Linked DNA regions of Macaca mulatta. The protein of the gene in region 1 interacts with the protein of each later gene in a biochemical or structural test. Links are inferred from orthologs where the notes say so. Each region holds a gene or a part of one and is shown on either strand. Other genes may lie near its edges. The genes, in order: GLG1 and SELE.

What was found.
Region 2: the proteins of GLG1 (region 1) and SELE form a complex in vitro, tested with the Homo sapiens proteins (2 studies listed by BioGRID and IntAct). The link is inferred for Macaca mulatta from reciprocal best matches to the Homo sapiens genes GLG1 and SELE.

The regions. Positions count from the first base shown.
Region 1 is NC_133425.1:69,910,628-69,914,989, forward strand, and holds the start of GLG1 (Golgi apparatus protein 1), read right to left. Parts: upstream 2,900-4,362; 5' UTR 2,880-2,899; coding exon 2,409-2,879; intron 1-2,408. UniProt on the Homo sapiens protein: Binds fibroblast growth factor and E-selectin (cell-adhesion lectin on endothelial cells mediating the binding of neutrophils).
Region 2 is NC_133406.1:27,237,170-27,241,752, forward strand, and holds the start of SELE (E-selectin), read right to left. Parts: upstream 3,021-4,583; 5' UTR 2,898-3,020; intron 2,588-2,897; 5' UTR 2,540-2,587; coding exon 2,503-2,539; intron 1,930-2,502; coding exon 1,546-1,929; intron 949-1,545; coding exon 841-948; intron 1-840. UniProt on the Homo sapiens protein: Cell-surface glycoprotein having a role in immunoadhesion. Mediates in the adhesion of blood neutrophils in cytokine-activated endothelium through interaction with SELPLG/PSGL1. May have a role in capillary morphogenesis.

The DNA.
Region 1 (4,362 bases):
GCCAGGCGTGGTGGTGGGTGCCTGTAGTCCCAGCTACACGGGAGGCTGAGGCAGGAGAATGGCATGAACCCGGGAAGTGGACCTTGCAGTGAGCCGAGATCGTGCCACTGCACTCCAGCCCGGGCGTCTCAAAAAAAAAGAAAAAAAAAAAAAGAAAAGAAAATAAGGTGGGCACAGCGGCTCAAACCTGTAATCTCAGCACTTTGGGAGGCCGAGATGGGCAGATAACAAGGTCACGAGATCAAGACCATCCTGGCCAAAATGGTGAAACCCTGTCTCTACTAAAAATACAAAAATTAGTTGGGCGTGGTGGCACGCAACTGTAGTCCCAGGTACTCAGGAGGCTGAGGCAGGACAACTGCTTAAAGCCGGGAGGTGAAGGTGGCAGTGAGCCGAGATCACGCCACTGCACTCCAGCCTGGCAACAGAGTGAGACTCCGTATCAAAAAAAAAAAGAAAAGGAAAAAGAAAAGAAGTTTAAAAATAACTCCACCTCCTGAAGAATATACACAGGTGTTCACAGTACTCTTCTTTCAGTATTTCTGTATGTAAAAACTGGAGGAAAAAACATTAAATTGGGAATTTGGCTCCTCCCCCTCCCCCTAAACCCCCAAAACTCCCATTTCCAATTTACATGACACCTTTCCTCCTCTGGAGCATAAAAGTGCCTCCTTTAAGTGGAGGTTTCCAAATGTCCGGAATACACATGAATAAGGATATATACACTCCTTGCGTAGGCACTTTTTGCCACTTTCCCTAATAATGTGCTGTTTCTGGCCGGGCACAGTGGCTCACGCCTGTAATCCCAGCACTTTGGGAGGCCAAGGCAGGCGGATCACAAGGTCAGGAGATCAAGACCATCCTGGCTAACTCGGTGAAACCCCGTCTCTACTAAAAATACAAAAAATTAGCTGGGCGTGGTGGCGGGCACCTGTAGTCCCAGCTACTCGGGAGGCTGAGGCAGGAGAACGGCGTGAACCCGGGAGGCGAAGCTTGCAGTGAGCCGAGAACGCTCCACTGCACTCCAGCCCGGGCGACAAAGCCAGACTCCGTCTCAAAATAAATAAATAAATAAATAAATAAAGTGCTGTTTCTACCACAAACCACTAATAATGTGTTTGGTCACCAGTATTAGGATCGTAGTTTGATGAAACGACATCTATTATGTGTCCTCAAAGAGCAAAAAGAAAATTCCAAAAAGTTTGACACCCCGACTTAGGAATCTTAGCTGTATCTATCAGAGGACTATCCTTCTAGCCTTCAAGCTGAAGATGAGAAGTCAGGTAAGGCCTCGCATTTCCAGTGGTTCTGGAAACTTCCTTTCTTTCTGTCTCCTGCTTATGTATGTCTTTTCCTCTATCTGAATTGCTTTTGTATAGAATACTAGAGCATGAGATGAACCAAGAGTAGCAAATTTCTACAAGTCAGTGGTCTTCCTATAACTTGAACGCCGTAAACAAATCTGATACTACAATTTAAAAAAAAAAAAAAACAGCTAAAAACAGTATCAAGTAGCAGCTTTATTCTATGTGTCAACCTTTAGGGCTAATTCTAATACTTACACCTCTGGAAAAAGTTTCTACTGTCAGATTTGCTCCCAAACTTTGAGAATTGTCAAATATGCACTTACAGTCTGCAGCATTAAACCTAGATTATAAATTATCAATGTCACTTAACTGAATCACACCAAGCAATGGCAAATCTAGATTTCATTAACAGATACTGTTAAAATCACATTGAGACCTCAGAAAAGCAAGACCCCATAACCCAGCCACAAACACAGCTTCAAATGCTTCCCCAACTTTTCAAGCTTTGGGTCGCCAAGTCACTCGGAGTTAACAGCCTAAACATGGGGTTCAATACAAACTGACCAAAGGAAGTGAAGAAAACAAAGCATACATTATTTCAGCAAGAAGATGGATTTGCGAATTACATCTACTGTAATAAACAGCAGATCAAACCCCTACTGCTAATAAACAGATCGTTCTTTACAGCCTAAGTACGCCAGGCATTTTTTTATGTTTAAATGGCTTGCCACAAATTGTCCTAGTCAAAACTGATCGCAAAATCCTAAACTGGTGTTCGGCGAGGAGACACTCGGTATAGAGGATCACACAAAAGACAGGAGCGAACAGACACGCTCTGGGCCTCCGCGGATTGCGGCCAGGAGTCCAGGTCTTCGTCCCAGACCCCGGCAACAGGGAGGGAAATAAGGGCGAGGGAATAGAAGTGGGGGTGGGATCCTTTTCCCTGAATGCGCCTGGGAATGAGGAGCAAAGAGGGAAGGAGCGAGTGCAGCACAGAGGAAGCGAGAAAAGCAGCCGACCGGCGTCAGCGTCTTCCAAGGCTGGCAACACCCTCGGGCCCGCACCAGGCCTGGCCCTCCCGGCTTCGTCCCACCTCCTCACCTCCCTCACATCCTGCAGGCACTCGAGCACCGCCAGGTTGTTGCTCCAGGTGTGCTTGGGGCACACGCGGGTCACGTCCTCCCTGCAGGACTCTTCCTCCGCCAGCTTCCAGCCCCCACCAGCCCCCGCTCCTCCTCGCCGAGCCGGAGGCCCACCCGCCGGGAAAGGCAACTGTGGCGGCTGAGGCTGCTGTTGCTGTTGCTGTTGCTGCTGCTGTTGCTGCTGCTGCTGCTGCTGCTGCTGCTGCTGCTGCTGGAGCTGCGATGACTGAGGCAGCTGGGGCAGCTGCTGACCTGCCGGGCCGCCGCCTCCGGCCTGCCCTACGAAGGACACAAAGTTGGCGCCGGGGCCCTGGCCCTGGCTATGGACGCCCTGGCCGGGGAGTTTCTCGGCCCCGGCCGCGGCTAGCAGCAGCAGCTGCAGCGCCGCCGACAAGCGGAACATCCTCCGTACACGTCCACACGCCGCCATCTTGGGTCCGCGGCGAGCTCGACGCACTCGCCGGCGCCGCGTATTTAAATAAGGGGGCGGAGACGCCGGGCGTGGCAGCGTGGCCCTGCCGAGGCCCGCCCCTGCCGGCGCCGACCCGCAAGTCCAGAGTGGGGCGAAGGAAGAGGCTACACTGAAAACCGTACACGCCCTGGACCCGCGGCTGGGAGAGCGGCGCTTCTTACCTGGGTGGTTGGTGGGGTTTCTTAAAAAGCCCGGGCAAGGCGGCCTAGTCTAATTCCCTTTCTTGTCACAGAAAAAAAATCAAGGGAATTGGGGTTGCCACAACCAAAATGGCCGGTAGAATATGTCGCCGGTTCAATGACTTGGAAAACAAAAACTTTATATGTAGAGGTGAACTTTGCACAACCAGGTGTGTTACGGAATCGGAAAGCTTCTCCTTGCATCGCTCCCTCCTTCCTTCCACCTGCCTCAGAAGTCTTTCCTAGCCAAAGAGAGAGACAGCATTGAATAGGGTTAAGAGCATAGGTCTTGGGGTAAGAAAAAAATTAAGGTTATAATCCTTGCTCTGATAGAGTGGGCAAGAGCTCAAATGTAAAGTACCATTGACAAGATTCAAAATAATAATAAGGGAAGTGCCTGGCCCACAACATGGAACTCCAAAAGTCATAGCCAGTATTGTTAAACTGTGAAGCCCTTTGTGCGTAAATCCTGATTTTAAGCCAACATTTAGATTCATGTTTAAAGGATGAACAAATAATAATAAAACACACTTTGAGGACTCGGGTTAAGTCTGTGTCGGTAACTGTTCTCATTGACCTGCATGCAATATCGCAGGCACCCCACGCTAGCATCCCCTCCCTGTCCTTAGGAGAAAGGATATGTTCCCAAAGCCTCTTCACATCCGCTGTGTAATCTGAGCCATGCATCAGGCCTGCGTTAGGTTCTCATTTAGCTGAAGAATGGCATAGAGATGTTAACAGTTCTGTGCGGAGGGATTAAATGAGCGGCCCAAGAAGAACTCTGCCATCCTGTAGACAGCCAGGCTAGCCACCAGAATCCCTGGGGCTTCCCACCACCCTGGTGCACTTTTATCCCACTTTGTCCATACACATGTTGGGGAATCAGGGCAGTTTGGGATGTGTAATCTTCCCTGGTCATTGTGTCCAAAAATGCAGCTTCTGCTGTCCTGACCCACAAATGATCAGTCAAGACCAGATTAGACATAACTAGAACCTGAGAAGTCAGGAGCTCAGGGAACCTAAAAGGAGCCCCTGAGACTGAAGATATTCTGTGAGTACAAATTACCCACTGTGGCTGACCCCAGGCCTCTATCATGGGGAATGAGAGCTTGTTGGCATCTCCACCAACGGTCACCTTTGTTACTGCCTTAAAATGATCGTGAGGCTGCTGCTAACCTTGAGCATTGACTAAGGCAGCCCCATGTTTATTAGCAAACACATGGCATAGATAAGTTTCAGTCAGGCTGGAGACATCACCAGAA
Region 2 (4,583 bases), on another chromosome or scaffold:
CCACCCGGGGTGAGAACCATCCACAAAGCTATATTTCAAATTTAAGTACTAGAATACATCACAAATTTTAAAACTCCAATGCTGCACTGTCTAATGTAGTAGCAACCATCTATGTGTGGCTACTCAAATTTAAACTTGAATTCGTTGAAATCAAATGATATTTAAAATTCAGTTCCTCAGTGTCACCAGCCACATTTCAAGTACTTAATAACCACATGTGGCTCATAGCTACACACTGGACAGCACAGCTATGGAACATTTCCATGATCACAAAAAGCTCTACTGCACAACGCTGTGCTAAGGAATTTTGGAGAGAAGCTAATCTAACTCTCTAAATTTACAAATTTAGGAACTGAGACCTCATTTCATTCAATCGACTTGCTCCATGCTACACAGCTAGTCATTACAGAGCCAGAGCATGAACCAAGATACCCTGGACTCTGTAACTCACTCATTTCTACTGCAACGTCTTGTTACCACCTAGATGATGTGAGCACCTGTTCCTTGCAGGGACACAGAACTACAGTTTATTGAATGTATCCTGTGAGCCAGGCACTATGTAACCATGAGCCTATAAAGTTCACATTATTATCCTCATTTTACAATGAGAAAACTGTGACCTAGAGATTTAAACTATCTTGTCAAGGTTCCATAATAAACAACTGGTGAATCTAGGACTCAAACCCAGAAGGGTCTGACTTCATAGTCTCAACTCACTATCACCATATGACACCATCTGCACCAGGGAAGGGAAGGCATGCAGACCTGACTCTAATGCCAGCTAGGACATCAGATCGTGCTACCATCTCAAGTGAAGAAAGAGGTGAGAACCAGACTTACTTTGCTCACACTCGAGTCCACTGAAGCCAGGGTCACACTTGCAAGTGTAATTATTGATGGTCTCTACACATTCACCGTGGCCACTGCAGGATGTATTGGTACAGGCAGCTGCAGAAAACACAAAGCATGGTGAGGAGGACTATTGCTGTGCTTATACTGAGTGCCTTTGATTTTAGAATCAACAGTGTGCAACGGAGACATCAGCAGTGCTACAGAGTGCCATAGACTTTAACTGAAGTGTTTTACGAAGTTCCAAATCTGAGCTTCAGGCCCACCTATCTTAAACCTTGATGCTAATGTATAGCTGTGGCTGGCACCTACCATAGAAAAGTTACTTCTTCACAAACTCTGGAGACAGTTCCCCTACCACAATAAACAAGCAATTAAAATATGTATTGTGTGTGTGCAATGTAAAGAACTACATATTTGCCTACAGTATTTAGATACATTTTATATATACACACACACATATGTGTATGTGTATATATATGTGTGTGTATATACATACATACATACATATATACACATACCCACATTTTCTTGCCCACATTCACACAAAACAGCAAAAGAGAGAAACTTTAGCAGTTAAACAGAATCTTTTAGAACATAAAATGACCACAATAGAGAGCAATTTTTGCATGCCGTAAATTTGCCAGGATGCCCACACACTGAAACTACCGCCCACTGCAGCCACAAACTCCCTACCTGTGTAGCACAGGGCAAGCTTCTTCTTGCTGCACCGCTCGTCATTCCACATGCCCACATCTTTGTCTCTCTTGATGTAGATCTCCACGCAGTCCTCATCTTTTTGCCTATTGTTGGGTTCACCTGGAGCCCAGTTCTTGGCTTCTTCCGTCAGAGGTTTCTGGGTTCCTACCCAGACCCACACATTGTTGACTTTTCTGATTCCAATCCAGTAATAACTTGGTGAATAGCTCAATATGGAGTTTAGGTACTCAATCTCTTCTTTGTTTTGAATTGCAACCAGATGCGTGTACCTTTGCTGGCAATAAGCACTGGCCTCATCATAAGTCATAGCTTCTGTGGAGGTGTTGTAAGACCAGGCTCCACTCTCTTTAATGAGAAGCACTAGTGGGAGAAAAAGAAAAGACATGGTAGAGTTTGGTGCTGTTGTGGTTTAACTCTGATAACTGTGCTTTTTATTGTCTTATTTTTGGCAATGTTTGTGACCAGACTTTTCTCATCTTTTCAAAAGTAAAAGGTACGTATGAAGAAACAGTGACTTATCGTTTATCTCTTTTGTGACTGGCCACCCACGAGGTGCTTTACCCGCACTCACTCACAACATTATAGTAAACCCATTTTGTAGTAGAATAATAATCAGAATAACTAAGCTTTATGGAGCACTTAGTAGGCACCAAGTAGCACTGTATGAGGTACTTTCCATGAACCATGCTATTGAATCCTCACAACGCATCTGGGAAATAGGTCATTTATGATCCACACTTTACACTTAAGGAAAGGGAGACACTAAGAGGTAAAGTAAATGGCCCAAAGCCTGGGGAAGAACACATTGCAGGTAGAGGTCAAGGATGCTGTCAGATACCCTGCACAGGACGGACCCAGACAAGCAAGGATATTTCAGTCTGAAACATCTATAGTGCGAGAATGAGAAATCCTGGTCTAATGACACTGACTTACCCAAAGTGAGAGCCGAGAGAAACTGTGAAGCAATCATGACTTCAAGAGTTCTTTTCACCCAAAGGTTTAGGCTTGAAATACTTTACTGGGGAGATAAAACACAAAATGAATTAGAGAAGGAAATCCTGAGTAGCCAGTTACATTATTCTACCATGATGTTTAAGGCAGCATCCTAAGATTTTGGGTAAAGGATTCTAGTGCCATAATCTTTATTTCAGAGTTTAATCAAATAAATAAACAAATTTTAAGATTTTCATCATTTAGGTCAAAGAGAAAAGACAGGTTTTAGCTACAATTCAATAAGAGCTTGTACAGATGTGGTTTTTACTAGAAGGCTTTTTGCATATCTGTGTTTCATGGCCCAAGGCTGCCCTTATAAAGCGTTCTGCACTTACTCTTTTGGGAAGCAGTTGTTCAAACTCAGGATCTCTCAGATGGGTATCACTGCTGCCTCTGTCTCAGGTCAGTATAGTAGTTTTGATGTGAAGTCAGCCAAGAACAGCTGAACACTACTGCGGCTGAGGCCCTTTTATAGGAGGGATTGCTTCCTGTGAATAATAGGAGGATATTGTCCACATCCAGTAAAGAGGAAATCCCCAATGGCATCCAAAAAGTTTCCCGGGAATATCCACGATGCTTAAAATTACAATGATGTCAGAAACTCTGTCTCTTGAAGCTACTTCATCTTTGTCCATGCCTTTATACTATATATGCAATTTTATTAATATGACACAAATGCATGATTTTTAATTCTGATAACGTAAAGTCTATGTCTTTAAAAAGTTGTAAAACTTTGCGTGTTAGTAGTATCTCTCATGTAGTTGTGGTAGAATTTCAGAAACATAAGGAAACCAAGAATAGGTTTGTCATCCATAGTCTACTACCTTCAATTTCTCATTCATGGCTGTTGATAACCAATCACTACTCATTTTTTCTTCCTTTTTCACCTGCCAATTCAACATATTTAACATGCACTGTCTCACAGAGGAATGACTCACGAGGTAGATATTAATCTTCAGATTTTGCATAGCAGTTATGCCTAAATTAAAATATTATCTAAAAATAATATCTACCACTCAAATGATTAAAATGATGTCTTATTTTTTAAAAATAAGAAAAATGGGAAATAGATATTTACATATGGGAAAGTTTCATGGTTTGTTCAGTGTAAAAAAATAAAAAGGAGGCTGGCGTGGTGGCTCATGCCTTTTATCCCAGCACTTTGGGAGGCCGAGGTGGGCAGATCACCTGAGGCCAGGAGCTCAAGACCAGACTGACCAACATGGAGAAACACTGTCTCTACTAAAAATACAAAATTAGCTGGGCATGGTGGTGCATGCCTGTAATCCCAGCTACTCAGAAGGCTGAGGCAGGAGAATTGCTTGAACCTGGGAGGCAGAGGTTGCAGTGAGCCAAGATCACGCCATTGCACTCCAGCCGGGGAAACAAGAGTGAAACTCTGTCTTAAAAAATAATAATAAATAAAATAAAAATAAAAAGGAAAACTATATATCCATATTTAATTGCTCCAAATTTTGTTTAAATTTTTTGAAATGTTAATGTGCAAAGAATAAAAACTCTTCCACAATGTTAACAGTGACTATCTCTGGATGGCAGGATTTGGGATAATTTTTATATCCTTCATTATTATTTTCAGAATCTTCTGATTTTTTCAATTTCCCTTTTTTTCCACCTTTATCGTAACAAGAATACAGTTTAAAGAAACTTGTCTCTAGGCCAGGTATGGTGTCTCATGCCTGTAATCTCAGCACTTTGGGAGGCTGAGGTGGGTGGATCACCTGAGGTCAGGAGTTCCAGACCAGCCTGACCAATATGGTGAAATGCTGTGTCTACTAAAAATACAAAAATTAGCTGGGTTGTAGTGGCGCATGCCTGTAATCCCAGCTACTGGGGAGCCTAAAGCAAGAGAATCGCTTGAACCCAGGAGGCGGAGGTTGCAGTGAGCTGAATCGCACCATTGCACTCCAGCCTGGGTGACAGAGCAAGACTCCATCTCAAAAAAAAAAAAAAAAAAAAAAAAAGGAAAAGAAAAGAAACTTGTTTCCAAATGCAACAGAAGG